2 linked regions of the Cricetulus griseus genome follow. Each later gene encodes a partner of the first gene's protein in a complex. Links are inferred from orthologs where the notes say so. Each region holds a gene or a part of one and is shown on either strand. Other genes may lie near its edges.

Region 1 (15,837 bases):
TAAGGGGTGGTACCTTCTTGTCACACTCTGCATCATCCTCAAAGATGAATACAGGTGACAGGCACAGTTACCTCTGTTAAGTTTCTTTAAAAGATTTATTTATTTATTTATTTATTTATTTATTTATTTATTTATTTATTTATTTATTTATATTTTTATGCATGTTTGAGAGCATGCCTGTGCTTGTGGATGGTGGCCAGAGGAAGGCGTGTCCTGCTCTTTCACACTGCACATTACTCCCCTGAAACAAGATGTCTCACTGAACCTGGAGCTAGGCCGGCAGCCAGCAAGCCCCTATGGCCAACTTTTCTCCATCTCTGCCTACAGTGTTGGGGACACAGGTGCCTGTGACCACCCTGGCTTTTCATGTAGGTGGAGTTTTGAACTCAGGTCCTCAATTCTTGCACAGCAAGCACTCTTAACCCAAGTCACCTCCCCATACCTCCTACATGTGCTTTTGAACACTTTGATGTTGAAATAGGGTTCCTACCATTTAGCACTGTTTGAAAACGTGGTGTCTACAGCAGAATAAGGCTGCTTGTGCTCTGTAGCATCTTCTGTGCCACCGCTTATGTCAAAGGGCAAGACAAACCAGCCTCAGTACTGTAAAACAGTAAGGCTTTTGGTAGTCTCTGATTTTTTTTTTTCCAGGATGGACAGGAAGATGTGGAATCACTAGGAAAAATAAATGAGTGTTCTGGTACCATAGTACCAGCGAGTGTCACTTTTTGGAGATGCCGCCCTCGCCTGAGCGACTCGAAGCATATGTGACTACATATGTACAGAGCCTACACACACACTAAGCATTTTGTGAGGGTTTAAGCCGATATACTGCTATTCACGGGGGTCCTGCACCGATTCCCCACAGGTCCTAAAGCTCGACTGCACAATTCTGGGAGACACTGTTATCTACACTGCAGTGCTCTGCCAGTTCTCTTCACACTTTGCATGTGAACTATGCTTTGGGGAGAAGAAACTCCTACCAATATACTTTCCCTTTAGGATGTTGCTAGTCACTCTGGCTGACCTCTAGACGCATTGTCCCTGGCTCAGACAGGGGGATCCTTGGCTCAGCTGAGCATACCCATTCTGCAGCCTCAGTGGATAAATGAGCTCACAGCTGCTCTGACTCTGGAAGCAGGGACCTTCCTGGTCTATGTGTCAGAGTGTTCTCCAATTCCCCCTGTCCAGTCAGCCTGGCTTCTCATAAGGTTGTGCTATTATCTGGCTTTAGCTGTATGTTCAGAAGGGAAATGCTTTTTTTTTTTTTTTTTTGATTGCTTTACCTACTACTCAATGACACTAAAGAGTGTAAGGGGATTGAGCCAGGGACTTTATCCTCTAAAAAAGCTCAGGCCCCTCATGGGGAATGGATTAAGCAAGTTAATAGTTTAGGAGCAACTGGAGTGCTGAGCACTGAGGCTGGGGTGGCAAAAGTGGGTCTAGGGGCAGAGGGTGAAGCCAAACTAAATCTGAGTTGAATCCCAGGGACTGGCCCAAGTTAGCATACAAAGACAGGAAGGCTGAGGAGCCCAGGCCTGTGAGGACAGAAATGGCAGCAGATAAGGCAGCACAGAGATAGCTTATCTGCACCCACCTCTTCCCTTATAGTGTGAACTTCCAAAGAGCACTATGGAGACAGGAGAGTTTGGATCCCAGCTCAGAACAGATAGCTATCAACATGACGACAGGTTCAGTTTCCTACCACAATTTTCATGCTTCTACTCATAAAAGAAATGGTCCAGATATTTTCACCTCCGTCCATCTCAAATCTGTCTTATCTACACTAAAGCTGGGCTGTGAGCTTGTGGTAACTGGAGACCAACTCCCCCCCTACACACACCCCCTTTATACCTCAATACAGAGAAGGGTCCTAGCTCCATGGTCTCTAGGAGACTTGGGACGAGGCTGAAGATGTTCTCGTATTGCCCACATGTCTATCTCTGGGCCTCTATCACTTCAAGCCTCATGGTTACTTGTGTCCAAAAGTAGGAAACAGGATGGAACACCACACAGCAGGAGCTCATGGTTCCTCAATAGGGGAACCATGGATGTGGATTGGTTCCCCTACCAGCAAATGCTAAACCGATTACTTGCCTATGAGTCAAAGACCTCCGGGGTGAGTTGCCCCCCGGAGCTCATGGTTCCTCAACAGGAAAAAGAATGGAGCATCCCATTGCATCTTCTGCCCCCAGGAGCTCATGGGTCCTCAACTCAGCCAGATGTACTTACCCAGTGTAGTCACAAAACACCTCCAGAGTCTGAGTGTCCAGCAGTAAGCCACACCAGGGAAACAGGCAGTGAGCAGGCAACTGGTGTGGAGCTGTACCATCCAGGGCACCAGGGTCCACAGGGAAGTTTACCACTGTCTTCTGCAAGTTTATCATGCAGCCGTACTCAGGAATGCCATGGACGAGGGCCCTGAGTAAGAGAGGAAACATTGGTTATGGAACCCTGGAAGCACACTCAGCACATGTCACAAAGATACCCAGAGATGTTCTGGGATCAGAGAGAGTGGGTCCTTGTGGGTAACCCTGATGGAATACCAGGCAGTCTTGGTCCAGACTGTAGCCTGGGGCTGCTCTTCTGTGTAAGCAATAGGGCCAGCTCAGAACAAGATGGCCAGGAGTCAAACAAGTAGGAAGGTTCACATAACCATCTGATGGTTATACCTTAACATCCATGTAGCAAGGGACCCTCTCCCCCTCACCCAAAAAGTCTGTTTTCTTATACGTTGAGATGCCTGTAGATGTGGATTGCTTCCCCTCCCAGCAAATGCTAAACTGACTGCTTGCCTGTGAGTTGAAGACCTCCCCAGTGAGTTGAAAGTAAATGTGTACCCTTCCTCAGAGTGAACTCACACTGGCAGTCTGGCAGTAGTCTAGCTCCTGTCCCATGGGTGGGAACACCTGATGCCATCCACCTGCCTGTGACTAGTCAGTCCTTGCAGCTGCCCTGGCCAGCTCCTTGTAGTAAATATTTCCTACAGGTGTCCATGGACAGCCCCCACCTAGTGGCCCCATCACCTGGTGATCTGACATTGATCCAGAGCCACTTCCCTGACAAGGTCTTAGGGACAAAACTGACTTCTGGAACTTTCCTCAACAGCAGCAGTGTCTGTCCTCTGTCCCCAGTGGCCACTGTCTATGTATGGGCCATGTAGCTTCTGATTGATACAGATGTGACAGGGACACACTGGGGCTGTTCTCACCTCATTCTACCTACCTTGACATGCACAACCTACTGGGCTCGAGGACACTATGCCCAAAAGAGCCCTGTTGGGCAAATTTGAAACTGGACAGCATTTAGTGTTTCCAGAAACACCAATACCTCAGTGGTGACAACTTCTGAGGGCTCGGCTTAATTAATCACATTCAGGTTTTTCCTCTTGTCAATTACCCTAAAAGGAGGTCTACAAACTTCACAGCGCCTGAGGGGGCTTCCTCTATAATACATGATCTGAAGGAACCCTCAAACTCTGTGGTGCCCAAGGAACCTCACTTGATGGTCCTGCTCTGAAGCAGGGCTGCAGTGCTCAATTCTAGCTTGAACCACAAAAATTAACTTTACACCCAGATATGCAATAACCCTGACCTCACCTCTATATACTACAAACAGCCTGGGATACATACTATAACTCACTAGTATGAATATTAATGTAAGAAAAATGACCACTCCTAATACAACAGCCATGTCTCAAAACACCAATGTTTAGTAAGTACAAATTCTCTGGTCTCTTCCTAACAATCCATAAAGAAAAGTTACTCTACAGAGCCATGGGCCTGTTCACCCAGTGCCTGTTCTTCATGGTGTGGTGTGAAGTCTCAAAGTTATCAGGAATGGTTTGAATAGGTATGGCCCCATAGACTTATGTGTTTGAATGCTTGGCCCATAGGGAGTAGCACTATTACGAGGTGTGGCCTTGTTGGAGGAAGCATGTCACTAGAGCCAGAATTTGGGGTTTCATATTCGCAAGCTACACCTAGTGTGGCACACAGTCCTTCCTGTTGCTGGCAGATCAAGATGTAGAACTCTCTGCTACCTCTCCAGCACCATGTCTGCCTGCACAGTGCCATGCTTTTCACAGTGATGACAATGGACTAACCCTCTGAAACTGTAAGCTAGCCTCAATTAAGTGCTTTCCTTTGTAAGGGTTGCTGTTGTCACAGTGTCTCTTCAGAGCAATAGAAAGTCTAATTAACAGAGGCAGGAGGATCTCTGTGATTTTGAGACCAGCCTGGTCTACAAGAGCTAGTTCAGGACAGCCTCCAAAGCCACAGAGAAACCCTGTTTCGAAAAACCCAAACTCCCGCCCCCCCAAAAAACTCTAATTAAGACAGCTATGCTCACATCTTCTAGAAGGGCTAAGTGCCTTAGGCCTCTGCAAACAGCCCTTCTGTGGGCTTGGCTGGGAGGCATAGGAGTTACTGCCTGTTGTCTCATCTGAAGACTTTCCAAATACTGGAAATGACCCGGTCTCTGACCGCACTGCATCCTCGGAGAGACCATGTCGGACCAGCCATGGGTGCCATACTCTCTTCCTTGGTGCTGGAGGTACCCATGTCTGGCTGCACAGGTGAGGTGACCCTGCCACTTGGTAGAGGTGCCACTAGGTCTTGGTGACAACACGAGCTCCAGGAACACAAAATTATAAACCGATTAAATGTGCTGCCTCAGCTGCACATACATCATGATCATACGGCAGAAACCCAGGCATAGCAGTCCTTACCTGAGGAAGGCTTCCGCCTGGACCAGGTGAGGTGTCACCAACAGAAAGTCATCAACAAAACGCAAAAGCAGCCTAAAATGAGACATGTTGACAGGTTTCACACAGAATCCACCTGTAGGGGATCCAACCTGAAACATTTTAGGTGTCACAATGCACAAAGACAAAACAAAGTGGTATTTCAAAAGAAGATAAACGACAGCTTTACTGTCTTCCTAACAGACATAGCTCTGGTGCACTTTGCAGCTTTGCACGAAGTGAAGGCAATGGATGACCTTTACATCTCGGACATAAAGCAACTGTCACACCCACTCAGTGAGCTGGGAACTCCAAGTGTGAAGATATGGCAACTCATGACCCAGGCCCTTGGAGCAGTAAAAACAAGCAATTTACCCATCCTTCTGCACCTCAGCAAACAGCTTGTTCTCCATGTCTCCGAAACACAGACTGCAGAGCAGGGTGGACAGGCTGGAGCCCTGGGGGATGCCCTGGCACTGGACATAGCACCTGGGGATGGCAGTGGTGGTTAAGGTCAGAAGCAGCAGCCATGGTGGGCTTCACACTCACATTTGACAACCCCCCATGTATAAATATGTACACAGACATACACCATTTTGTAAACATGCTCAAAGACCACGTAAACAAACAGTAATATCTACTACTGTCAGTTGCCAAGACCCAAAAAGACTCCAAACTCAGTACCACCCTTATCTCTCCCATTCCCAACTCTTACTACAACCTGGGGTGGTGGGGGGCTACATCCCCATTCACTGACTCCAGGTTGTTTTTTTTTTATTTAAAATTTTTAGATTTTAAACATTAATGATAAGCAATCAGGCTCTTGAACTGAATATTTATCTGGGACAATTAGTAACAGATTATTAGTGGAAGGACATTCTGGGTCATAGCCATGTAAAATTGTCAGTGCCTTCTTCACAGAGAACCTAATGGCACCCTTCAATCAAACATACATGGGTGGGTGCCAGCAGGGGTGGGTGCCGGCAGGGGTGGGTACCTTCAGATGGTCAGGCAGGGAACTTACCCAGGGAACCCGTGTGTGAGAAAGAGTAGGTATGAGCTGACCCCTTGCACAGACTCAGTCCCCTTGGCTAGAGTATCTGTTAGGAAGCTCTCCAGGCATGGTGTACACAGACCTGACTTCTCAGTGTATCTGGCTGACCCACACTAGGACTAAGTTATCTACCACATGGACACAGACTCACAAATCTGTGCTCAGTATTATCAGGACTCAGGAGCACCCTTTGTGGTGTTTGTGAAAAAAACACCCAGTTGCATGCTTGTAGCTTGTGGTTTCCCAGCATGCATATCAAACATTTCCAATTACAGCCCAACACATACTGTGACTTTTGATAGTCAGATATTTCTTGTCCTGCCTGCCCTCATCTCTAATAATCCTGGGTGTGAGCCTGGAATTCTGTTCTGTATTGGCACTCATTGTGTAGGCTCCTATCAGTCCAGCAAAAAGGTGCCAAGTGCATTCCATTCTCTAAGTGGGGACTTTGGGTACAGAAGATGCAACCAAATGCTCAAATATTCAACCTCACATCTGATCCAGACATACAAAGTAGGTCTTTGCAGGCTGATGGGCTGTTAGACAGCTCTAGCACTGAGCCAGTCTGGGTTCCCTTCACTACAGCAGTGCTTTTCAAAGGGTACCTGCTCTGGCTTATAACTCATGGGAGTCTCTGGGGGACTCAGCCATAGGCACTGCACTCTCTTTGTTGATGTGTCTCATGTGTCTACATGTGTCTCATGCCTGGCTAAACAGGTGAGGTGCCCCTGCCACTTTGTCAAAGTAACAACAGGAACTCGAGGCATACAAAATTATTAACTTCATTAGGACCATGCTTAGTCAGGAACTCCCAGGGCCTCATGGGTAGGCAGCCCCGTGGCCCAGTCAGCAGAAGGGCAAGAAAATTCTATGAAGGGGAGTGGGGAGGAAGCAATGAGGCAGAGGGAGCCAGTCAGATAGGCTTCTAAGTGCTGTAGCCAGTTAGCAAGCACCCTGCTCAGCAGTCAGGATGGTCTCTATCTGTACCTGCCCAGCCTCTGCCCACTTGCCCTACGCCTGTGCCTACCTGCCACCGATCTTCACAACACTGTTATGCACAAAGTGCAGGAAGAAGTCAAACAGGCTGCTGCTGGCCTCACTCAGAGATAAGCTCTAGAAAAGCAGACACATGTGGACAGATGAGTGGGAGGATGCAGAACTCTGCCACCAGATGACCCTGTAAGACCAAAATGTTCATGGTAAAGTAGGGGTGGGGCCAGGGTCAAGTGTCCCTGCATGGCCAGGAAGAAATTGACTCAAGGTGACAGGGTATGTAACTTACAAAGTGGCAATGTAACCTATTATATTTCTACAGCACTAGGTTGGGGAACTTGGAGCTCACACAGCACCCCACTGAGCTAAAGGAAAACCATCCAAAGGTCTCAGTGAGCATGGCTGCCCCAAAGTCAGGATATGTACAAAGGAAGTTCTGTAGAACCACTGATTTGTGGGAGGAGATCTCCTAGGTGTGGCATAGGTAAACTGAATGGGCCAAGATGGGGACCACAGATCAAGTCCAATTTGCCCACTAAAATAAAACTATGGTCTCAAGGTCAAAACTGAGGGAGAAGATATTTTTACCAGTTCACTAGTAGATCAGTGGAGTATGGGGGACGAGGGTATAAAGGGCACTTCAGAGCATGCCCACCTTAGTAGCTATTGGGGAGTCTAGGTCATGTCATAGGGATGGGGACTGCCACCAGGAAAGAGTGGCCTTGGTCATGGGAACTCTCCACCAAGGAATACCTTGGTCACATTCCTACACTGAAGCAAATAGCCAAGTAGAGGAGGAAGGCCCCACCAGGTGCGGCCGATTAATGGGGAGCCCAAGGACCTGCTCAATGACAACGGAGTTCCTCAGCGCACTGGTATCTGAGTCCTGAAGATGCCTCACGAACTGGCCCATGTGTGGCTGGAGGTCAGAGAGGGTGGAGACCTGCAGCACAGAAGAGGTAAACACTTGAGGGGAACCAGAGGGGCACATGGTTTTCTGGCCAGGACTGCCACAGCACAGTTCAACAATAGAACAGTGTGGGACCACTCCATCCTAGAGTCTTAACAGGAAAAGGGAGAATCTAGCACCCTAGCAGGAAGAGCCACAGAAACAGCAGGTTGCACCACAGTCAGCTCTCCTTGGGTCAGACACCCCCATAATGCTGTGGTTACCGATGGTCACAACACAAGTAGCATCCCAACTTCTCCACAGAGACAGCGGCAGTCAGGAGGAAGAGCTGACAGGATTAGGGAGGGGATGGCTCCTTCATCTCCTGCAACAGACTCTTTAGGATGCCTGCTTTTTATCCAGTGGCCACCAAGATCCATGTCTCTAGACACGATGTCACCAGAAGGAATACAGCACCATCTACTGACAGCACAGGAACAATTCCTAGCATGCTAGGTGTAAGACGTCCAGACGTGTGAACACTGGGGTCTCTGAGTAATGCTGGCTGTCCTCAAACTTGCAATACTTCTGTTTCATGCTCTCATATGTGGAGACTGCACACTGGCTTTGAACCTTATAATTTCCCATGTTAGGCTGCGTGTATGAATATGGTCAAAATGCATTATACTTGTGCATAAAGATGTCATAACAAAACCCATTATTATGTACAATTAACATATAGTAGTAGCACAAAAAAACCCCAAAAACCCATGTGCCAAGTTGGTTTGCTATAGTACTAGGAGTAAAGTCACCCAGAGAAATTAAAGTACAAGAATTAACCTAGAAAAGAATAGCAATATGACCTGAGCAAGAGGGAGCTCACAGACCCCAGTCTGACAGCTGGGGAACCAGCATAGGACTGAACCAGATCCCCTGAATGTGGGTGTCAGTTCGGAGGTCTGGGCTGTCTATGAGGCAGCTGGCAGTGGAACCAGTATTTATCCCTAGTGCACAAATGGACTTTGGGAACCCATTCCTTATGGAGGGATATTCTCTCAGCCTAGATACACCGGGGGGGTGGGGTAGGGGGGCCTAGGTCCTGCCCCAAATGATGTTACAGACTCTAATGAACCCCCATGGGAGGCCTCACCATCCCTGGGGAGTGGGTGGGGGTGGGATGAGGAGTTGGTGGGGGGAGGGAGAGGGAACCGGGATTGGTATGTAAAATAAGATTGTTTTTAATTTAAATAAAAATTTATTAATAAAGAAAAAAATAGCAATATAAATAGAAAATGCCTGCATTTTCAAAATAATGAAGTAACATGCTTCTAAATCACTAAAGAGTATATCAAAAACTGCAATAAATAAATAAATAGAGAAGGTTTTGAACTGAGTGATAATGAACTGACAAAAGCCAGCATGTGTACGGGACTACTGAGGGGTCTTGCAGAGAAATGTATAACTTCAGGTGTTTCCTTGGGATTGGTGTAATGGCTAAGCAAGTAAAGACACCTACCACCAAACCTAAGGACTTAAGTGCAATCCCCAGACCCATGTAGTGGATGGAGAAAATAACTCACACATGCTGTCATCTAGCCTCTACAGAGGCACAATGGTAGCTGCTCTGACCAGAGTAGGGAAGGAATCGCCTGGGTGTAGTGATCCTTGGTGCAGAAGCCACATGGCCACTGCACATATCATGCATGTATAGTTAAAGCTTGCCTGTGAGTCTTGTATGTCCTATATATAGGGAAAGGAAGTCACCTTGCGCCTCTCCCAGGCCTAAATTCCTCTGCCTTTGAACCCACAGACCCCACCTACCTACTGAAGAGGATATTGGGGGGATCTCCATTGGGAGTCCTGTAGAGGGAGGCACGCTGGGGTCTGACAAATGATCACTGGCACCATGGATACCCAAGCCACAGACATGTCCTTGTATGGACATGCCAGAAATGTGGACCTATCACAGCCTTACCTGTGTCACTGAAAGAGTCCAGATATTCACGACATGAAAAGCCCTGTGCCACCAGCATGCTCACAGCACAGATGAAAAGTCCACCATAGCCTCACCTGTCTCCTGAAGGACCTGTGGATTTGGCCTTCTCTATCTCTTTGGATCACTGCATATTGGCGGATACAGTATGTGTTCTCCGGGTGTCTGATCATATTGGCAACAACCTCCACAAGCTTCTCCTGCGGGATGGCATCATATGCCCCGGTCACATCTGCCTGTGGAACACATGTGAACACTAAGCATGGTTGGGCCTAGGCCCAGGGGTCCTGCTGGCTCTGTCCTTGGTGTCTGGGTTCCAACCTGCCCTTAAGCAAACCAGTAGGAGATAGACAGACAGGAGAAAGAAACTCCATGCTCCTGTACTAGCCTAGCCACATGTGCCTATCCCACAAATTTCCCATTCCAGACAAAGGACCCTGGGGCATAGTGGGTCTACATTCCTCTCTCCAGCCCAATATCCCAGATTGAGACCCTTAGGTCAAGGAAAACCTACATTCTCCTTGCAGAGCCTCACAGCCTGCAAGGGCCCCTGCCTAACACAGATACTGAAGCATGCAGGCCCTAGTGGTAGACAGAGTCAATCATGGCTAGTAGGACCCAGCATCCAACGGGATTCTCCTATAGGGTAGATCCCAGAGGAATTGGAGCGCACTGTCCAGGGAATCCACACAAGGCTATCCCAGAAGTATGGGGTCCCCCTGCTCCAGAGAGAACAGGAGGCCACGGTAACTTTGGCCTATATATGGTAGCAGGGGCCAGCACTCTCAACCACCACCTACAATAGGGTCACCCAGTGTTGGCTGCTCCAAGGAGGTCCCTTGAGTCAAGACCATGGGAGCAAATGTGATGGCGGGAGTCCAAATGATCACCTTAACAAAGTACATCCTGGGTGCCGGGTTCAGAGTGCGTACATGCAGTACAAAGGCCCGCCAGGTCCTGTAGACATCATTCAGGCCCAGTACAGAAGCCCCCAGAAGGTTAGTATGTTTTGTCCGTTCATAGTTGAGCACGCTGAACAGAGTCTTGAGACACTGGGTGAAATGCTGAGCCTGGGCCAGGGCCACAAAAGACACATTAGAAACGAACCTGACAGACTGTCCCAGACTACCCTGATATCTCAGAGTCTTAGAAGACCTATCCCACTAAGTCACTTGACTGCATTTGGGGCACTCACCCAACCTGCTCCAACCTGTTCTCACCTACCACCAAGGGCACTGCCGTCTAATGAGACATGTCCACTGGGCTGGGGTCAGGTTCAGGATCAACTTCACTCACAAATGTCCCCCAGCTGGGCTGAGGCATCAATAGCTTCACTTTGTGTTCTGGGCATTACTAATGACAAGTCACCCCACACACCTTACATTGGCACCGGGAGGGGTAAGATGTTGTGGACATCCAGCTATGGTGAAGGGAGGCAGCTGCCCTCTTGGTTACTTTGGCCCCTATCATGGAGGCCATAAAGTATCTACCCTACCTGTCAGGATCCCTGAGGTATCTCCAAGGTTTGTGTCCCAAGCCCTTTGGCTCTTGAGACCATCTCCCATCTGTAGGGCCTTTTCACACGCTGAAGTTTTGGACTTGGGAACAACCAGTTCCTCGTCCTTCCTGTTCTGTCTGCCCAGGGCTCAGAACTTCATGAGCCCTTGTGTAACCAGAGAGCAGGCTCAAGCGGCAGTACAGGAGCCAAGTGCAATCACCTGCTTCCCTTTATTAAAGGCTCTGGCGCCCATGCTATAACTCATGTTCACAATGGGCCGAAGACCACTGGGCTTGGGGATGAAACGCAGTCTGCAGATGGGCATGGCTGGCCAGGCCTCCTGGTGCTGCCTGACCTCCTCTTGTGACAGTTCCTGCAGCTGCACTCTCTCAAGGTGTTGCCTGTTACAGAGAGCATTGTGGAGTTACGACATGAGCATGTGGGAAATTCGAGAGACACATCCCATCAGGGTGGTTAGGAACTTGGGTCATTTGACAACTGGCCAAGCTATGGGACTACATCCAGGACCATAGCAACTCTCGACAACCAGGCAACCCACACAACTGTCTGGGCAGGATACATGACATAAAGCCTGTGTTTGCACTTGGGACATCTGATCCCGTAGTCTGCCCTCGTGTTCCCTTCTGGGGTGATCCCATTGGCCAGGGCACTTTTGAAGCAATCTGCTGCACTCTGTGGATAACCTGGCTTAGACACAGGTGTGAAAGCAAAAAGCATCCCTGCCCACCTCAGGTTCATGTGTGCCAAAGTACATAGGAAGTCCTGTGTTGGCTGCTAAGGATCCCACAAGCACAGTGGGTGATATGTAACACATAATGAGGGTTGGACTTCATGAAACATGGAGCCGGGTGGCGATGGCACACACCTTTAATCCCAGTGCTCAGGAGGCAGAGGCAGGAGAACCTCTGAGTTCAAGGCCAGCTTTGTCTACAGAGCTAGTTTCAAGACAGCCAGGGCAACCTTGGTTAACATGGCAGTCTGATCTCTGCAGGCCTTGCCTGGCATCTATTCTGCCTCCTCAACTTGGTCTATGTACTTTCCACTGGTACAGTAAATCCCAGCTCAACAAGCAAAGAACCTCAGCCACTCAGCGCCTCCGCCAGCTCTTGGGGTGGAATCTTGTGGTTTCCCACTGAGGAGGCTCCTCATATTGTACTTCCTTCAGGACATAAGGTAGAACCCATCTGACCCATGTACCAAACAAGCAGCTACTCTACTCCTGTTTGGTGCGAATTCCTCCTACGTTATTGAGCCTATAGATGGTGTAGGCCCAACTTAAGATTTTACAGGTCAGAAAGCAGGATCTCCAGTCCATGACTACATGGAGTCTATGTCCTGAAGGCCCATGGACAGGCTAGCAGGTGCCAAGCACTGTTGAAGTCAGTATACGTAAACAGCAAGCACCGACAACAGAGATGTGTGGTACCTGACTCCAATGTTCTGCAGTCTTCTCCATACCCTCTTGCGGTAGAAGAAGAGCCGGTTCTTCTGGAATGTGGTCTCTGTGACGTAAAAGAATGACCTAAGCAGCTCTACCACGTATGTGTCCATCAGCCAGAACAGGAACATAGCCAGGATCCTTTCCCTCGTACGGTGCTCTTCGGCTGGGACACAGTTGTTTCCTGAAAGCAGTAGATACTCAACACCCGTGACTCACCCCACACCCATGATGTCCAGCATGGAAGCCATGGGACCCCAAAATGAGCCCACGAGGTGTTACTCTGGACATGGTGGGTTCTAATAGAATGCATCAATAAACTAACTTAACCTTTGTGTGTGCGCGGGATGGAGGGTGGGGGGGGGGGTGGGGGATGGGGTGGGGTGGGGGGGTACGGGACTTATTTTTGGTAGGTCATAAACTAAAGTTCTCTGACAAAGCCATGTCAGTAATGGGATCCTGCAGGCCTAGTGACTAGAGATAGAACGCTGCAGACTGAGAGTGAGATGCTCTTGAGCATCTCTGACTTGCATTCTCTTGAGCCATCTCTCACTCCCATTCACTTCCAAGCTCTGAATCTGACCTAGCACCTTGTGACTCACTATCCAGTGAATCTTTTGGGATGGACTGACTCAGCAGACCCTGACCTCTACCAACTGCTAAAGCTAAGAATGTCTTCAGGTAGGGGCCAGAGGCATGGCTTAGCTGGTAAAGTGTTTGCGCTAGAGGCATGAAAACCAAGTTCATCAGAACCCACTTAGAAAAGCTAGGTATGGCCTGTGCCTGTAATCCCAGTGCTAGGGAGGCAAAGACAGATGGATCCTATCTGAATCATCAATTCCAGGCGATTAAAGAAAATACCTGATGTCAACCTCGGGCCTCCACACACATGCACAGGCAAACCTCAATGGGTGCTGGGCCTGTACTATTGGGTCACAGACTACACGCTCACTGCCACTGAGCAGAGTGTGGTTCAGAGATGTGTAGGGACAAGCAGAGGACAGGTTGTTTTCACTGTCATACTGGACCTAAGGGGTCAGTGCACCACAGGCCATGATAGCTGTCCTTCCCGAAGGCCTCTGGAGATCACTCTGTATATCATCTCCAGATACCGTGGGAGCCCGCTTTACCAGGATAAAGCTGCGTTTACCAAGCAGTGATAAACATGAAGGAAACTTGTGAAGGAGAATGGAGAATCCCAGAAGGAGGCACAAGATAGAAAGCAGAATGAACAAAGAAAGAAGGAATCGGGGGCGGGAGAGATATCTCCGTGGTCAAGAGCATGCTGTTTCTCAGCATCCGCATGGTAGCTCACAACCTCCTGTAAACTCCAGTTCCAGGGAATCTAACACCCTCATCTGGTCTGCTCCAACCACCAGGCATGGCATAGTACATATACATACACACTCAGGCAAAACACTCTCACACACAAAATAATCATTAAAAATAAGTAAATAAGTGGAGAAAATGTGGAAGGATAAGACTAAATAAAACAGTGACCTTAAGAAACAAGCATGATGTTTAACTTGGGAGTAGAGAGACTGAAGGCAGAATGAAATCAGCAGAGAGATAAGGAAGGTAGTGGAGATGCTGACCCAAGTTCAAGTACCTTTAGGTTCAAATGTCAGGTGACTGCTGGCAAAGAACAGTGCACATGACTTCCTATCGCTCAAAGGTAAAAACAGAATGAAAACAGGTGCAGCAAGGAAATGCACTTTACAATTGCTCAGACAGCAAGACTTTGGGGGTGGGGGGTGGGGTGCAGCAAGAATTAAGACCAGCTGGCTGAAGAAATGGCTCAGCTGTTAAGGCTCTGGCTGCTTTTTCAGAGAACTGGGATTTGAGTCCCATCATCCACGCGGTGACTCTCAACCATCTGAAACTCCAGTTCGAGGTGATCCCACCCTCTTCTCCTGGCTTCTGTAGGTACTCGGCATTCAAGTGGTACACAGACATACAAGCAAAACACCCATGAGAATAAAAAATTTAAAACCAATGAAAGCAAACTGGAAATAATTCACTTACATGCTGTGAAAAAGATCTATCTGATCTATAAGAATGTGAAAAGTTTAAAAGCAAAACTTAAGGGGAGGAAAAAGACATAGCAGGGAAACACCAAAAGCAAGCCCAGGTCAGCCAGTTTGACAAACTCAGCTACTGGGCGTGTATTACACACTTGCTACCCCACTTCTCCAGAAGCTGAGGCAGGAAACAGGGTCACAAATTTGAGAGCAGCCTGAGCAATGTTGCAAAAACCTGTCTCAAAGGGAAAAAAAAAAGCTTTACATTTAAAAAATCACTACAGGCTGGTTGGTGGTTGCACACGCCTTTAATCCCAGCACTCAGGAGGCAGAGGCAGGCAGATCTCCAGCCTGGTCTACAAAGCAAGTTCCAGGACAGGCTCCAAAGCTACACAGAGAAACCCTATCTTAAACCACCCCCTTCCAAAAAAAAAAAAAAAAAATCACTACAGACATAATATCCTGATTCTCTAATCAGAAAGATAAAAATTCAGGCTAGGTGTGGTGGCACAGGCCTTTAATCTCAGCACTCAGGAGGCAGGGATAGGCAGATCTCTGAGTTCAAGGTCATAAACAAGTTACAGGCCAGCTGGAACTAGATAGTAAGACCTTGACTCAAACAAATAAATAAAAGCTTGTAACTAGTACATACACTTAACAACACTGCCTATAAATACCACCAGAACAAGAAGAAATAACTCTAGTTGTCCAGTCATAGACAGAGGTATCCATCCTTCCTTTTTCACGGCCTGGAAAGGATGTGGACATTTCTTGTATAAACCTGACACAGTGAACACAAAAGCCTCAGCACTCAGAAATGCAAGGAACTTGGGAAAACTAACTAAGCAGAAGTGCAAGTTTCCAGCGCCTTCAGTTAACTAGTATTATAAGGACTATACTACACAAGAGCTCAAAATCAATTTAAAAGGGAAATCAAAAAAAAAATTCACATTTGGAATTTAAAAATTCCTAGGTAATAAATACATCAAAACAAAAAACAATGGAAGATCGAAAATGCCCCAAACCACTGATATCAAAATTATCATATATGTAAGCAGTAGGTGCAGCTAAGGCACTATCCAAAAGGAAATGTGTAGCCAAATACCCAACCTATGATGATAGAAAGCGACAGCAAAAAAACTGAAGAGGTGTGAATGAAATTAAAAGAGAACATTCCACACAGAAA
Region 2 (15,083 bases), on another chromosome or scaffold:
AATAATTGTAATTTTACTGTTATGAATTGTAATGTAAATATCTGTGTTTTCTGATGGCCTTAGGTAACCCTATAAAAGGGTAGTTTGACACTCCCCAGGGGTCATGACCCACAGCTCTAGGTAATTCCAATATACATCAGAATAAGCTTCTCTGCTTCAACACTTCCTATTCATCTCCTTTATCAGCTTATCTTTTTAACTTTTGTTGAATTTGTCTCTTTAGATATGTCTGGAAGTTCTTCAACTCACCATTGAGTACAAAATAGAACTGACATCACATATTATATATACTAGGTGCAAAAACTGTCCTCAAGAACTTCACAGCCTGGCCAGGAAAGATAGTATGTAAATAAAAACAACAAAGTGGTGTAGGTACTGTAGTCATGGTTTAGAGTAGGGATATAGGGATGGAAAACCTGACTTTATTTACTAGAATACAGGACTGAATCAAAAAAGGTATCAGAACTCCTTGAAGGGACTTGTCTAGACTATAGTTTTGAATTGGCATTTTATCAATTTAAATGTAGTGTGATGGATTAAGGACTAAAACTGTAATCTGGCAGTAATTTGGTACAGGCTGGGGATGTTGCTCAGCTCAGAAAGTGCATGAGAGGCCTTGAGTTCCATCCTCAGCATCACATAAATCTGGGTGTGGTTGAGAAGGCCTTCAATCTCAGCACTTTGGAGGTGGAGGCAGGAGGATCAAGAGTTCAGGATTATCCTTGACTACACAGAAAGTTTACCGTCAAGCTGAGCTACATGAGATCCTGTCACAAAAATAAATAGATAAGCAAACAAATAAAAAAATTTGGCAAAGGAAGAAATTATAATCTTTTATTCAGAATATAACCCAGTGTAAGGTTTAGTAAGCAGTGGAAAGCAGTTAGAGCAAGAATTAACATAGCCGGGTGTTGGTGGTGCACGACTTTAATCTCAGCACTTGGGAGGAAGAGGCAGAGGATCTCTGTGAGTTTGAGACCAGCCTGGTCTACAAGAGCTACTTCCAGGACAGCCCCCAAAGCCACAGAGAAACCCTGCGGGGGGGGGGGGGGGACAAAAAAAGAATTAACATATAATACTGACATAAAAGAAAAAATGACTAGTTAAGGATTAGTGAATTCTAGAACTATAAGCTTTATCAAGTCTATCTTGTCTCGAGACATTAAAAATAAACAAAATTGAGGAACTAAAACTATTCTGGCTTCCGGAACACTTAAGGTCAGGAGGAACAGTATTTCCTGAGGCCGGAAATGGCAAGTCACTCTTGCTTTCACAAGTTGGTGGCCAAGGCCATGTTTTCAAACTTGAGTAGAACAGAATTGTTAGGAGTCATTAGGAACCTTAAGGGATTTTTTTTTTTTTTTTTTTTAACTAGAAAGATTACACTGGTCAGGATGTGGCATAAAACTAGGTGGCCGTTTTCAAACTTTTTTCTTTAGTCTGAAACAGATGCCTTATCTCTCTTTGCATGAAACTAAATCAAATGAAAACTTCTAACATAAGCCAGTCTATGAAGTTCAAGGTCAAGTTTGGGAAGCAGTCAATATGAGCAGAAGAGGCTCCTATATGTCCTGACTACGAAAACCCAATAAAATACACAACATAGTTTGTCTAAAGCTCAGCAGTCAAGTGACGTGGGAATGGGCACTAGAAGCCTCTTTGCAAGTTCCATTCAAAAGAATAGCATCTCCTTGAGTGAACTTAGCTACTTTAAACACTCTATAAGAACATAAATTTAAAAAAAATTATGGCGCACAGCTAAATCTCTGGAAGAAGCCATTAAGATGTAAGCAGTAGCTAATCCTTGCAACCTGCCCAAAAGCTGACTGTTAAGAGTCAAAGCCTCAAAGCTGTCTAGGAAGTACATACCCAGCCCATTAAATGTTAACAGTTTAGGATTCTCTGTGTTGTGAGAGAGTTAATTGTTTGTCTCTAACCAAAAATAGTCACTTTAGTTATAAGAAGACAAAAATGAGGATATCAAAATATGCATTCCCTTGCCTTCTTGCCAGATATCTTCCAAAAGGCCAAGTGACCACTGCAGTGACTTACTATGGCCACTATTATTCCCAGGCTCCTAAGCATCACAGAAAAGTGGTCCTTAATTCCTGGTGATTATTATAAAACAGAGTAGGTAATTACCTTGCATGAACAACCCAGGGGTTGGAACACCCTGTCTTCTGGTTTCTACTTACCCTCAGTCACATCCTGGGGGTTAGAGGTCCGGTCACTGGAAGGATCTAGGGCAACAGTTGCCAGAGAAGTAGTGGCCCCAGACAGTTCACTCATAGGCTCACTACGGCTTGTCTCTGGCACACTTTCTCGGGAGCTAAATCTTACTCTGGAACTAGATCGAGAGCTGAGGTCCGGGCTGGTGTCGGACAAACCTGGAATGTCATCAATCTTGGTTGGTGTTACCATGAACCGAACTGAAGACATCTTGGTGGTGGGTTCTGGAGGATGCATTTTTCCCCCCTTTTCCAGAAAGAGAAAAGGAAAAGCTCACAAAAACTCTTCCTCCTACGCTAGGTACTTTTGATTGCAAAAATAGAAAACTTGAAAAAAAAAAAAACCTCAATTACCTTGATTTACATCCCACAAAGGCCCAATTAAGAATCCTTCTACTTAGAATTCAAGGCAACTGTTCTATAAAGTACACCACCAGTAACTGAAAAATAATTTTTGAAAAACAATGAGAACAAAACGATGCTAATCTTGTATAACTTGGCTCCTTCGGAATCCTAGCTATCTCCCCTGGTCCAGGGCTGAGGGCTCCATGCCATGATCTCACAGCAGCTGGTGACGCCTCTCTCTTGCTCAACCCCCAGGTCCTGGTGAGGTAGTTAGTCCTTTATCTGCGGAGTGTCCCACGGTTCTAGCTGAGGAAACAGCATGCAGGCCCACCCTTATCAGGCGACTATAGCGTGGATCAGATTGCGAAAAGGTGTGCACCGGCCACCTGTTGTGTATCAGGTGAATACCCCACAGGTCTGGCTGGGAGGAGGTGTGTGCTGAACCACCCGATGTTTTTGAGGTCGACAATCCACTTGGGTCTGGTGGGAGAGGTGCACATGCATAACGGGAAAAAAATACCCCCACACTACAGGATGGAGAGAAAGGAGAGCAACGAGAGGATGCCGGGGCAGAGTGGATTCCTGCCTCCTCGAGATCTCTTCCTGACCGAGGAGCTGGAGGCGGCGACTAGCGGATCAGGGCAGCTCCGGGTCGTGGCAGGTCGTCGCGAGTCTCTCGAGCCCACGACTCTCGCCGTGTTTGTGCCGCGTGTGACAGGACGCGTTTTCCCCCGGGCCGACGCGGGTGGCCTCTTGCCGGCTCTCCTTGGGTCTCAGCCGAGAAGACGGCCACGCAGGCTGGTCTCGGCTAGGTTTAAGGAGGAGGTCGCAGGTGCGGGATCCCGCGCCAGCTGATGCGGGTGCGCGCGCAGCTGTTGTTTACTAGCCGCTAACTGTTTCGGAGCCGCGGCGCGCAGGAGGCCCCCTCCCCGGCAGACGCCCGAGGCCGTTACGTGACCTCGCCGCCCCCCGCCCCGGGCGCGGCGGGCAGTACCCGCGCCGCCGCAGCCCTCCCCTTCCCGCCCCGCTCGTTCCTCATTCGAGGTTAACCGTCCTGAGAAGTCTGGGGAGCAGCTGGAGGGCGGCGCCGTCCCGCGGGCACCAGCAGCCCCGCCCGGAGTCTGCAGAGCCGAGACAGCGAGCGTGCGGCGCGCCTGCGCGGGCCGGCGGCTCTCACGTGGAGCACGACGGGAACTGCAGTCCGCCTCCGGGTCTGAACGTGTGTGGCGGGATGCATTTTCTCGTGTCACCTGTGCTGCGTGGACTCTGGATGCAGCTCAGGGGCAGTCAATGCCCATTTACCCCGGGACCGCAGGGGTCATCTTTAATTAGAGTCTCTCTGGAAACCTTACCTTTATGGCACCCAAACCTCCCATTACCACATCTATTTATCCTAGATGAGATGCTCAGTGTAAAATTTCAGATGTCTCTTCTGAAATGCCTGTAAATCTTCATCTTCAGTGTAGCTACTTTCCTGCCTCTTGTTCCTGTTCCCATGAAAATCCCAAGCCAGGCTTAAACTTCCATTAAAGAGAACTATATAGACATTGAGAAGGCATTGAGGTATCTGTTCTACTCCATTTCCAGTGTTTGACCTACTTTAAACTGTCAACTAGATATGTTTAGTGTTTAGTGCATCATGATGTTTAATAAATTTCAGTTCCATAATCTTTCGTTTGAAAACTTCTTATAGGTTTGATCAAAATGTGGAAACTAGCTGGAGTCTTGCCCGGATCCTTGGTTCCTCTTACTTGCAAAGAGTTAAATCAGCTTATGGTTAGAGAAGACCCTGCTGGTTCGGTTCCCAGTTCTCACATGATTTGGCTCATAACTGCATGTAACCTCAGTTCTAGGGGATCCAACTGCTGAAGACAAGGCATGGAAGCGGTGCACTTACTCACATATAAAGGAGATATATATTATATGTTTTTTGAGACAGGGTTTCTCTGTGGCTTTGTAGGCTGTCCTGGAACTAGCTCTTGTAGACCAGGCTGACCTCAAACTCATAGAGATCTCCCGAGTGCTAGGATTAAAGGCATGAGCCACCACCACCCAGCTACTTTCTTTCTAAATGTATGTTCATTGGTGTTTTGCCTGCTTATGTCTGTATGAATGTATCAGAAGCCCTGGAGCCATCCCCGGGGGATCTACTTTCTAAGGCAGGCTTGCAGTTCATTCAAATATCAGACTTTATAAAGACATGCTGGCGCCGGGCGTCAGTGTAAAATTTCAGATGTCTCTTTTTAAATGCCTGTAAATCTTCATCTTCAGTGTAGCTACTTTCCTGCCTCTTGTTCCCGTTCCCTTGAAAATCGAAAGCCAGGCTTAAACTTCCATTAATGAGGAAAAAAAAAAAGACACACTGGCGTTTCTGCACAATTTTTGCATCTACTTATATCTACCACCTAGCTCACTCTTGCCGCTCTTCTTCCTTTCTGCAAACACTAACTGATAATCAAGCTCACTAAAGGTATGTCTCAGATGTTACTATCCAGGCGATCTTTTCAGTCCTTGCTAGATTCATGAGTTTCCTTTTCTCCTCCATATCGACTACTACTATTTCCAGGTTAGTCTTTTATTTTGATCTGCACTGCTGGTGGCACAGAATGCTAATCTTTTATTTGTTTTTGTAAGGACAGAATTATATTCAATACTGAAAAAACAAAGAAGACACACCTCCTACCAGACAGATTTCACTGAGTTGGTAGTTAGAAAACGTCCAGGGACTGGGTGTGGTGGGACAGCCAGTAATACAGTGCTCAGAAGGTAGAGGCTGGTAGATCTGTGAGTTTAAGGCCAGCCTGGTTTACATAGTGCAATCCAGAGTGGCCAGTGCTACATAAAGAACCAAAACAGAAAGAGAGGGGAAGGAAAGAAAAGAAAAAACTTCCAGGGTTGGTAGAGTGCTCACCTAGCATACAAATCCTAGGTTCGATCCTCACCATAAACCAGGGTGGTAATGCACACCTGTTATCCCACAACTCAAAATATAGTGGTGGGGACTGGAGACAGGGGTGCTCTTCCAGAGGACCAGAGTTCTATCTCCAGCAGCCACATAAAGGCTATAATTAATTGTCTAGATCTAGTCCCAGGGGATCTGACACCTTCTTCTGGCCTCGGTGGGTATTAGCACACATATGCATAGACACGGAGGTAAAATACCCATAAACATACATTTTTAAAAATCTAAACAGCAAATTTGGAGCACTTGATGCTCTTGCTGAGGACCCAGGTTCGAGTTCCAGCACCTACATGGTGGCTCAAAACTATCCATAACTCCAGTTCTAGGGGATCCAACTCTGTCTTCTATCCTCAGAAGGTACCAGGCATGCACAAGGTGAATGCATACATGAAGGCAACAACAGTGGAGAACTAAAAGTTTCCAGTCATCCTGAACCACAAAGCAATTTTGAGACTCACTCAGAATAAAGAGACTGTCTCAGAAACCAAAACAAACAAATACAATAAACCCCCCCAAAACCCAGAAAATTCCAGTTGTACATTTTTCCAATTATGTGCAGAGTTTCTTGTTTGTTCTTTTGGTTTTTTGAGACAGGGTTTCCCAGTGTAGCCTTGGCTGTCCTGGAACTCACTTTGTAGACCAGACTAGTCACGAACTCAAGAGACCCATGGTTTGCAGAGTTTTTAACATTTCTATATCCTTAGTAGGATATGATTCATTCTTTAAAATTTCTCACATACGCCGGGCGTTGGTGGCGCTCGCCTTTAATCCCAGCACTAGGGAGGTAGAGGCAGTCGGATCTCTGTGAGTTCGAGGCCAGCCTGGTCTACAGAGCGAGTGCCAGGATAGGCTCCAAAGCTACACAGAGAAACCCTGTCTTGAGAAAAAAAAAAAAAAATTTCTCACATACAACACTAAAAACTGTGTTCATGAATGGGCTAAGAAATAAAATTACTAGAAAGGAAAAAGAAACAAACATATAACTATTTGAATTTAGCAGATCTACTACTTAATTGAAAGTTACCTGTCTTCTGTTAAGGTAGATATATCAAATGATTTTTCTTTTTTTCTTTCAACACCAACAGTCAAGAGGAACACTGAACTTTTCTACCTCTATGAGTATTCAGCAAGATTGCAGAACACAGTCTCTATGAAGTTTAAAATTAGTGGCACTGAGGCTGGAGAGATTGCTCAGCAGAGGATCCAGATTCTGTTCTCAGCACCCACATGACCACTGACAACCATCCCTAATTCCAGACTCAGGGGATTCAATGCCCTCTGTCTCTATGGGTACCAGAAACAAACATGACACACACACATACATGCAGGCAAAACACACATATAAAAGAAGAACAAATACTTCTTAAAAAAAATTAGTGGCAGTAAACATACATTCAGATCCAATGTCACAATCCAGGAATGAGACTGATAACTGGTTAACTTGACAAGGAAAGGAAGAAGCCAACTAGCATTTCTTGAATGCCTGAATACAGTATTTTACTTCACCGTTATTTTAATATGGAATAATTTAACTAAAAATCACTTAGGTTAGCCAAGCATGGTGGGCACATGTCTTTGATCCCAGTCCTTAGGAGGCAGAGGCAGAAGGATGGAGGCCAGCCTGGTCTAAAGAGTTCCAGGACAGCCCAAGCTACACAGAGAAAAGCTTGTCTTGCAAAAACAAACAAACAAACAAAAAATCACTTAGGTTGCTGGGCGTGGTGGTTCACATCTTTAATCCCACCAGCACTTGGGAGGCAGAGGCAGGCAGATCTCTCTGAGTTCAAAGCTATTTATGAGCTGGGCGGTGGTGGTGCACACCTTTACTCCCAGCACTTGCCAGGCAGAGGGCAGCCTGATCTACAGAGAGTTCCAGAATAGCCAGAGCTACAGATAAAGTCCTTAAGCTTCCATTTCATGTATGTATGTATATATTTATTTATACACACACTTTACAACTCTAGACTGGAAAACAACAAAAATCCTTTCATTAATTTCTCATACCTCTTCAAAATTAAGATATGTGGGGCATTACACATAGCTGCTGGCTGCCAAAGAAAATACAGATGTAACAGATGTAGGGTTATTATATGTAAGCTGACTAGAGAGAAAAAAGTGTGGATAGATTTCCAGGACAGCAAGTTTGGTCAAAGACATTCCCACTTATGACAGCTGAACAAACAACTGTATAATTACTAAGAAGATTCACCTCCACACACACACACACACACACACACACACACACACACACACACACACACTTTTCTTTTTCTTTTTTTTTTTTGGGGGGGTTTTTTCGAGACCGGGTTTCTCTGTGGCTTTGCAGCCTGGCCTGGCACTCGATTTGTAGACCAGGCTGGCCTTGAACTCAAGAGTTCTGCCTGCCTCTCTGCCTCCTGAGTGCTGGGATTAAAGGCGTCGCCACCACCGCCAGGCTCCTTCCCACTCTTAAAATTGAGGAAAAAAACAAAAACAAAAACGAGGACTAAACAAGTTGAGTGCCTTTACTCCTTAAAGAGGGGGTAACAGTACCAGTTTCGTAACTGCCAATTAAGTCTTTATGCCTTTATTATTCTTTGAGGAATTCGGAATGTTATTTAAAGGGGCCACAATTTACTCCAGGGACTGGAGTATATTTTCAGTGAACGCTGACCTTTGTAGGAGTCTTTCTCAGCCTTTCTTCCCCAACACCCTAACACTCATGGCGCATTGCTACTTCAAAAGTGAGGGCTTACCATTGTTCTCAAGTGGCCTTGTACTAGCAACGGCACTACACTCCCCCATCTTTCCCTCCAATCACACACAAAATGAACTTTCAAGACATTGTCTCTTTAATAACCTGGCAGTAATTCAAAGCATAAAAAAAAAAAAAAAGTTAAGACTGTTCCTTTTACAGGCGATGCCCATCACGACAGACTCAGTCACGTAGTAAGATAGGATTCCAAACAGCATGGGAAGGCTTCACTGCTCACGGACTGACGCCTTTGGTTATTGATAATCGGCCTGGGGTAGGGCAGCACATGAAAATTAACGAACCCTCAGAGAACAGGACGCGGTTGCTGGGTCATGAGCACCTTGAAGCGTCTCTTGATGGTGATTCGGTGTCTTGAGTATTTGTCGTCAGGGGAGAACCGAGCAGGATGGGCAGAGCAAGTCTGTTGTCCCATAGGGTCAAATTTCTGCTCGAGGAAAAAAAGAAAATGATCTCAATACATGAGTGGTGTGCTAGCAAGGGGACAACAAGAAAATGGGAAAGCTGAAGCCAGGAGACGCGGCGGTCAGAACAAGAAGTCGTGCAATGCCGGCATCTACCACGTTTCGGCCCGGACGTGGCTCCAAGCACCCGGCTGCGCTGGCCGGCGGCCGGTTCCAACTGTTCCTCCCACCTAAATTTCTTGTCCTCCCGACTTACAGCTGTTTTCTCCCCTTACCTTCAACGTATAGACGCGATCGCCCTGCTCGTTGAGGTAATACTGGAGAAACATGACTGCAACTCAGCACGAAGATCCTCACTCTTCCGCAGCCAGGCGCGTTTGCCTGGAATACACCGCCTCAACCGTGTTCGCCAACATCCTTCCCATCTGACCGGAAGTCGGTACAAGGCATGCCGGGAAATGTAGTCCATTTCTCCAGTCATATCCAGTTGACCAGAAGGGGGCACAGTGGAGCAGAACTTGGCCTTGGTCTTCCCAACTAGCTACAACCTTGCAAAGTTGCCTTGCAAAGAGCCATGGAATTGCCCACTGTGTGCCAGGGACTCCCAGACGTTGGGAGGTAGGGATGGGTGTGGGTTAAATGTTGATGCATCCAGTCCTGTCTTTACTCTCAAATTGCTCACCCATTTCAGAGGCATTAGTTTTGTAGTTCCTGGAGAAACAAGGGTTCCAGGATACTCAACCTCCTATATCCTAGGGAAGATGTAAGATTTTTTTCAGACCCCCACTTTTACATCCGGTTCCCCGCCCCATTTCAAAGTGTTGGCGGTAAAGAGTGCATGATGGGTATTCGATATTATGCAAAGCGAAAAGAACGTAAAGGTTTTCTTATGAAACTGGTGAATTTTGTTTTAGAGGCTGCACCAAGATTCAAACTCAGGACCTGACCACAAATTCATCTCTTTCTTACATGGTGAGTAGCGAATAATATCACAGTAAGGTAACTTTCTTGGAGTATTTCCAGTTTTTCAAAGATAAAAAGTCTTATAAGAGTCTAGTTTAGAAAAATTAAAATTAAAACCAAGATATTGCAAAATGACCATTGTAGCACTATTCATAGTGGCAAAAATATTGTAACATATTAAATTTATAGCCAGAAAAACTTTAGTTTTTTTTCTCTTTTTTTCTTTTTTTTTTTTAGTAATGAATATAGTTGGTTTACTTGTCGTCTCATAAGATATATTAAAAAAAACTAGGGAGTTTAACACCGGCTTGTAACCCCAGAAGTCCGGAGGCTGAGGCGGAAGGATCTCTAGCAACCAGTAGGTTCAAGGCCGACCTGAGCAGTATTCGAGCAGTAAGACCCTGCTTTAAACTGAGAAACAAAAAGCCAAACGGTGTGTGTGTGTGTGTGTGTGTGTGTATGTGTGTGTGTGTGTGTGTGTGGTGTGTGTGTGTGTGTGTGTGTGTGTGTGTGTGTGTGTGTGTGTACACGTGTACACGTGTACACATGCACGAGATTTTGCGAGGGGCGGGAATGTACTAGAAACAGTTAATATCGGCATCTTCTGGCTTGGAGGAGGATTTGGTTACAGGGAAATGGATGGAAAGAATGCTTGCTGCTGCGTATTTTATTTTGCATGCCCTGGGTTTTTTGTTTGTTTTGTGTGGTTTTTGTTGTTGTCTACCGTTTAACACACACAGACACACACACACACCGAATTTTAGTCGTTTTCATCCTCCCATACCCTTTTATCTCCTTTTTTTCTCTTCAAACTTTTCTTAGTTTGACTTTTCAGCTATGCTAATCTATTAATTTAATGTAATTAATTTAATAACTTCAAAAAGTAATTTAGTGAAAGACTTTATGGTAATTTTAAGGCACCGGTTGTGACCAAGGACTCTAATTTATGCACTCAAGAGGCTAAGGCAAGACAGTCTTAGGTTTGAGCCTAGGCTACATAGACAGATTCTTGTCTCAAAAAATGAAAAAGGGACCGGAGAAATGGTTCAGTGGTTAAGAATGCCTGATGCTCTTGCAGAGGATCCAGGTTCGGTTCCCAGCACCCATATGACAACTCACAACTGGCTGCAATGCTCCAGTTCCAGAAGCTTTGACTCCCTCATCTGGCTTCTGGGGGCACCAGGCATTTACCCAGTTGCACAGTCCTACATTCAGACAAATATTCATATTCAATAAAACTGCATAAACCCCTCAAAAATTATTAAAGATTATGCCTTTTTAAAAAAAGGTACACAGTACACAGTTTAATCCCAGTACACAGAAGCTAGAGGCAGGCAGATCTCTGTAGAGTTACTAGCCAGCTAGGGCTACATGGCTTACACCTCTTGAAACTAATATATATATAATTTTTTAAAATTTATTAAGTTTTTTTAGCAAATGGAAAAGGCTGTGGCTTCCATGAACTGCAGAGCTGCTGGGACTGGACTGTGTGGGGATTGCAGAGAGAATTATTTCTTCAGATAGATAGTTCCACTTGTAGTTCAAGCTTTTCTCAAACTCCTGCCTTAGCCTCCTTAGTCCTAGGACTACAAGTAGGTGGCAGTTTTTCACACCACAGCAGTTGGACACCCTAGATCATCTGAAATACTTCCATTTCAAACATTTTGTTTTCTCCATCCTCAACTATACAAACTGTGTGCTCTGAATTTGGCTCAGAAAATAGAGTTATTGTTGTAACAAGCCAAAGGCCCACCACTAATTTGTTATTAATAGTAAGCCAGTTACAGAACTAGAGGAACCGAAGGGCAGAGGATTAGATATGTTGTTGAAGATTAGAAGAATAAGAAACCAAAAGCAAAAACTACAGTATAATATTGAGAATCTGAGAAACAATGTACAAATTGTCGGGGGGGAGGGGGGAAAGACATCCCCCCCAAAAGAAAAAAGACACCCAACAATCATGCTATCAAATGAACTTAGAGGGATTTTCTATTTTTTTTAAAGGATTTTATTTATTTATTATGTATACAACATTCTGCTTCCATGTATATCTGCACACCAAAAGAGGGTACCAGATCTCATAATTGTGAGCCACCATGTTGTTGCTGGGAAATGAACTCAGGACCTCTGGAAGAGCAGCCAGTGCTCTTAACCCCCGAGCCATCGCTCCAGCACAGGATTTTTTACTTTTTGCTTACCTACCAGAACCCACTGTGTAATACCTCATCATTCTCACCATGAAATACCCTCTCCCCTCCCCCACTACAGAATGCCTGTGTCCAAGATTCTAATTCTGTTTTTACCCAGTCTTTACCCTACCTTCCTTGGAGATCCTCTGTTAGAGCTAGGTTACTGCCTGGTTCCTGGACCCAACTGTTTCATTCTGGAGGCTTCCCCACAGCCACTGTTGGTGTACCTAAATCTCAGATGATGGCTTCAGACAGAAGTAAGACTGGGGGTGGTGGAGAATGGAGGGTATCTTCCACCTGATCAAATCCCTGGAGTGTCAGATTTGTCCCTTTATCTAGGAACAAATTATTTAGGCTAACCTAAAGGGATGTGAGACATTAGACCCCACACAGGCATTAGGGAGCATAGGGAAGTAGATTTTTACCATTAAGAATGGAGGAAGCCTCCTTGGAAACAAACCAAAGTGCCTCAGGTGTAACACACTGAGTATAGGTAATGGACAGCAATTACCAAATTGATTCCCAGGAAGAGGTTGTACTTTAACATGCATGGGTTTATGTGCAGTATGGGCAACGTAGTCAGGGTTTCAGGGAAGACTCAAGATCTGTGTCTACTGGCAACTAGTGCCTGCTCTGGGACTTTGCCATGAGAAGGCCAAGCTGAGTCTTTTGATCTTTCGAGGGAAAGGAGGCTGATGGATGGAGAAGTGGGAATTTGGGTCAGGGGGACAGTCGGCTTACTTGGAGAGCTAAAAGTCTTTCAGGGGGCTATTCATTTAAGAGCCAGTGAATGGGGCTAGAGATTTTATAAAACTGATTGGCCTCAGATCTGAAGGCCTCTACCAGCCAGAGGTGGCTTCTTTTCAGTCCAGGCAGCAGGCTTTTCTTTCTTTCTTTTTTTCTTTCATAGTAATGTATTAAGGATATATCTAGAAGTTGGGAATTCTAAGCTCAAGGTTCCATCTAATTAGTGTTCTGGGGAGGGTACTTTTCGTGCCCCATAGACCATTTCTGGGCACATGTGTGAGCTCATGCATGTGTGTGTGTGTAAAATTTTTGTTTATGGAAATTGAATCCAGGGCCTTGCACATGCTAGACAAGCATTCTATGAGCCAAATCTGCAGCCCCTTATTGTACTTTTTAGTTTGAGGTGAGGTCTCACTAAGTTGCTCAGGCTGCCCTTGAACTCCTGTAACCCAGGCTGCCTTTGAACTTGTGCTCTTCCTGCCTCATCCTCCAGAGTGGTTGTATTAATAAACCTGTACTTATTTTTAAGTATGTTTTTTGTTAGGGGTAGCCTCCCTCCCTCCCTCCCTCCCTCCCTCCCTCCCTCCCCTCCCTCCCTCCCTCCCTCCCTTCCTGCCTTCCTTCCTTCCTTCCTTCCTTCCTTCCATTTGTCTGTTCTTTTTGTTTTGTTTTGTGTTTTGAGACAGGGTTTCTCTGTGTAACAGTCCTGGCTGTCCTAAATTCACTTTTGTAGACCAGGCTGGCCTTGAAATCACTGAGATCCACCTGTCTCTGCCTCGAAAGTGCTGGGATTAAAGGCGCACACCACCACTACCCAGCCATGGGGTGGGGAGCAGTCTTTCTTGACTTTCAGAATGGAGAAGATAGGTCATGTTAGCCATAGTGAGATGTTTGGTTTTATTACCTATTGTGGAGCTAAGACCTTAGCAGCATTTCACAATGTGCAGAAATTGGCAGTTATAACCCAACCTTCTGTTGTGTGACTTAGATGAGTGTGAACATAAGTTTGTTCCTATTTCATGTCTCCTTTGTGGTCAGGAATCTGAGTAGTGCTGGTTTGTTGGTGAAATACTCTTTTTTAAAATAGGGAGAAGAACAGCATGAAATTAGGCCGATTGGCTTCTGTTTTTATCATTAAAAATCATGTGGATGTCCCTGTGGATATCATGTGGATACAGGCCCTGTTTAATGAAGTACACATTTGTGTGCTTATCCCCTGATCTGCCTGACCAGCATCCACATAGCTCGTCCCAGCAGGAACTGTGTTCTAGATTTCATTCTTCCTTAGTTTCAGCTCAATGCTATATTCTTCATGAGCCCTAAACTTCTAACATTAAGAAGCAGGACCACCTGTACTGCCAAATTTCAACTTGTCCAGTAGTTCCTGAAGGCACTGGAAATCTCCCTCCCTCCATGCCCATCCCCATCATTTCCTGGTCCTTATCTAATCCTTCCAGCTATTCCTAGCTGTTACATAATGAAGTTTCTGGGAAGAAAGAATTCAGGCTGCCATACCCTGTCCTGGGGACTGTACTTCTGTGAATGTTGACAGGGGACACAGAGCAGCTGGGAGCAGGTGGTTTCTATCTCATGGGAGTGGGCAGGATTAGTAGATGTCCATGTATGCTGGTGGAATGATTTTTTGGAGAAATGAGCCTTGTGAGTTCTGGAGTCATTGCGCCTATCCGTAAACTGCATCTTCTGTTGTTTGAGATGAGATTATTAGGAGTAAGAGGAATAGGGAAGGGAGGAAGAGGATGGACCAGTGTTTGTGAAACAGCCTCCCCAAGGACCCCATGAATGCTTTTGGGGGGTCTGGAACTTTCCCAGCACCCAGCCTGCTTGCACAACAGGTGTCAGTCCTATTTGACACTGTGGAGCTGGCAGGGGAGGCCTCCACGAGTATTTTGAAAAAAGCTCTCAGAGGCAGTGGCAGCTTGAGCTTGTTCTTCCTGGAAGACGCAGGTCTATGTGTCTCGTTGAAAGGGAGCAACTTCTTTAGCCTGGTAACTCAGGGGTAAAGGACTCCTTGGGAGACATTTACAAATCCACCCATCCATGTCCTCTCCTTCATGCATTAAGAGTCATTGCTCTGATCCCATAGGAACTAAAAGGAAGTCATGTGGCCTAACTTCTGGTCTCCTTCCTACTCCCTTCTTTTCTTTGTCTCAACAGCCTCTCCGTTACCAGGACCAGATATGGCCATGAAACCTGGTGCTGGCCTGCCCCCTTTCACTGGGCTTCCCTTTGCCCCACCTACTCCTGTGCCACCAGACCCACCCCTCTGGGAGCCATCACCACAGCCCCCCATACCTCCTGCATTCTCTCCAGGCAGTCCTCTGCTCCTTTCTGCTTTTCCCAGCCCATTGTTGGTGACAGGAGAAGGAGGCTCTGGCCCCAGTGTGGCTGGAACTGGCCAGGTCATTGTTAAAGTCAAGACAGAAGTGGGGCCAGCTGAGCCCTCTCAAAGTCAGAACCTTATAGTTACTCAGA

The links.
Region 2: Tert (region 1) and Nop10 share a complex: the UniProt entries of both Homo sapiens proteins name them as parts of the telomerase holoenzyme complex. The link is inferred for Cricetulus griseus from reciprocal best matches to the Homo sapiens genes TERT and NOP10.

The regions. Positions count from the first base shown.
Region 1 is NC_048595.1:368,304,235-368,320,071, reverse strand, and holds part of Tert (telomerase reverse transcriptase), read right to left. Parts: intron 12,815-15,837; coding exon 12,619-12,814; intron 11,573-12,618; coding exon 11,392-11,572; intron 10,744-11,391; coding exon 10,564-10,743; intron 9,910-10,563; coding exon 9,751-9,909; intron 7,735-9,750; coding exon 7,633-7,734; intron 6,912-7,632; coding exon 6,826-6,911; intron 5,234-6,825; coding exon 5,120-5,233; intron 4,802-5,119; coding exon 4,730-4,801; intron 2,422-4,729; coding exon 2,233-2,421; intron 604-2,232; exon of another isoform or gene 491-603; intron 1-490. UniProt on the Homo sapiens protein: Telomerase is a ribonucleoprotein enzyme essential for the replication of chromosome termini in most eukaryotes. Active in progenitor and cancer cells. Inactive, or very low activity, in normal somatic cells.
Region 2 is NC_048599.1:66,076,505-66,091,587, forward strand, and holds Nop10 (H/ACA ribonucleoprotein complex subunit 3), read right to left. Parts: upstream 9,109-15,083; 5' UTR 9,021-9,108; coding exon 8,967-9,020; intron 8,715-8,966; coding exon 8,574-8,714; 3' UTR 8,344-8,573; downstream 1-8,343. Other genes in the region: Slc12a6 (solute carrier family 12 member 6), read right to left, coding at 2,196-2,466. UniProt on the Homo sapiens protein: Required for ribosome biogenesis and telomere maintenance. Part of the H/ACA small nucleolar ribonucleoprotein (H/ACA snoRNP) complex, which catalyzes pseudouridylation of rRNA.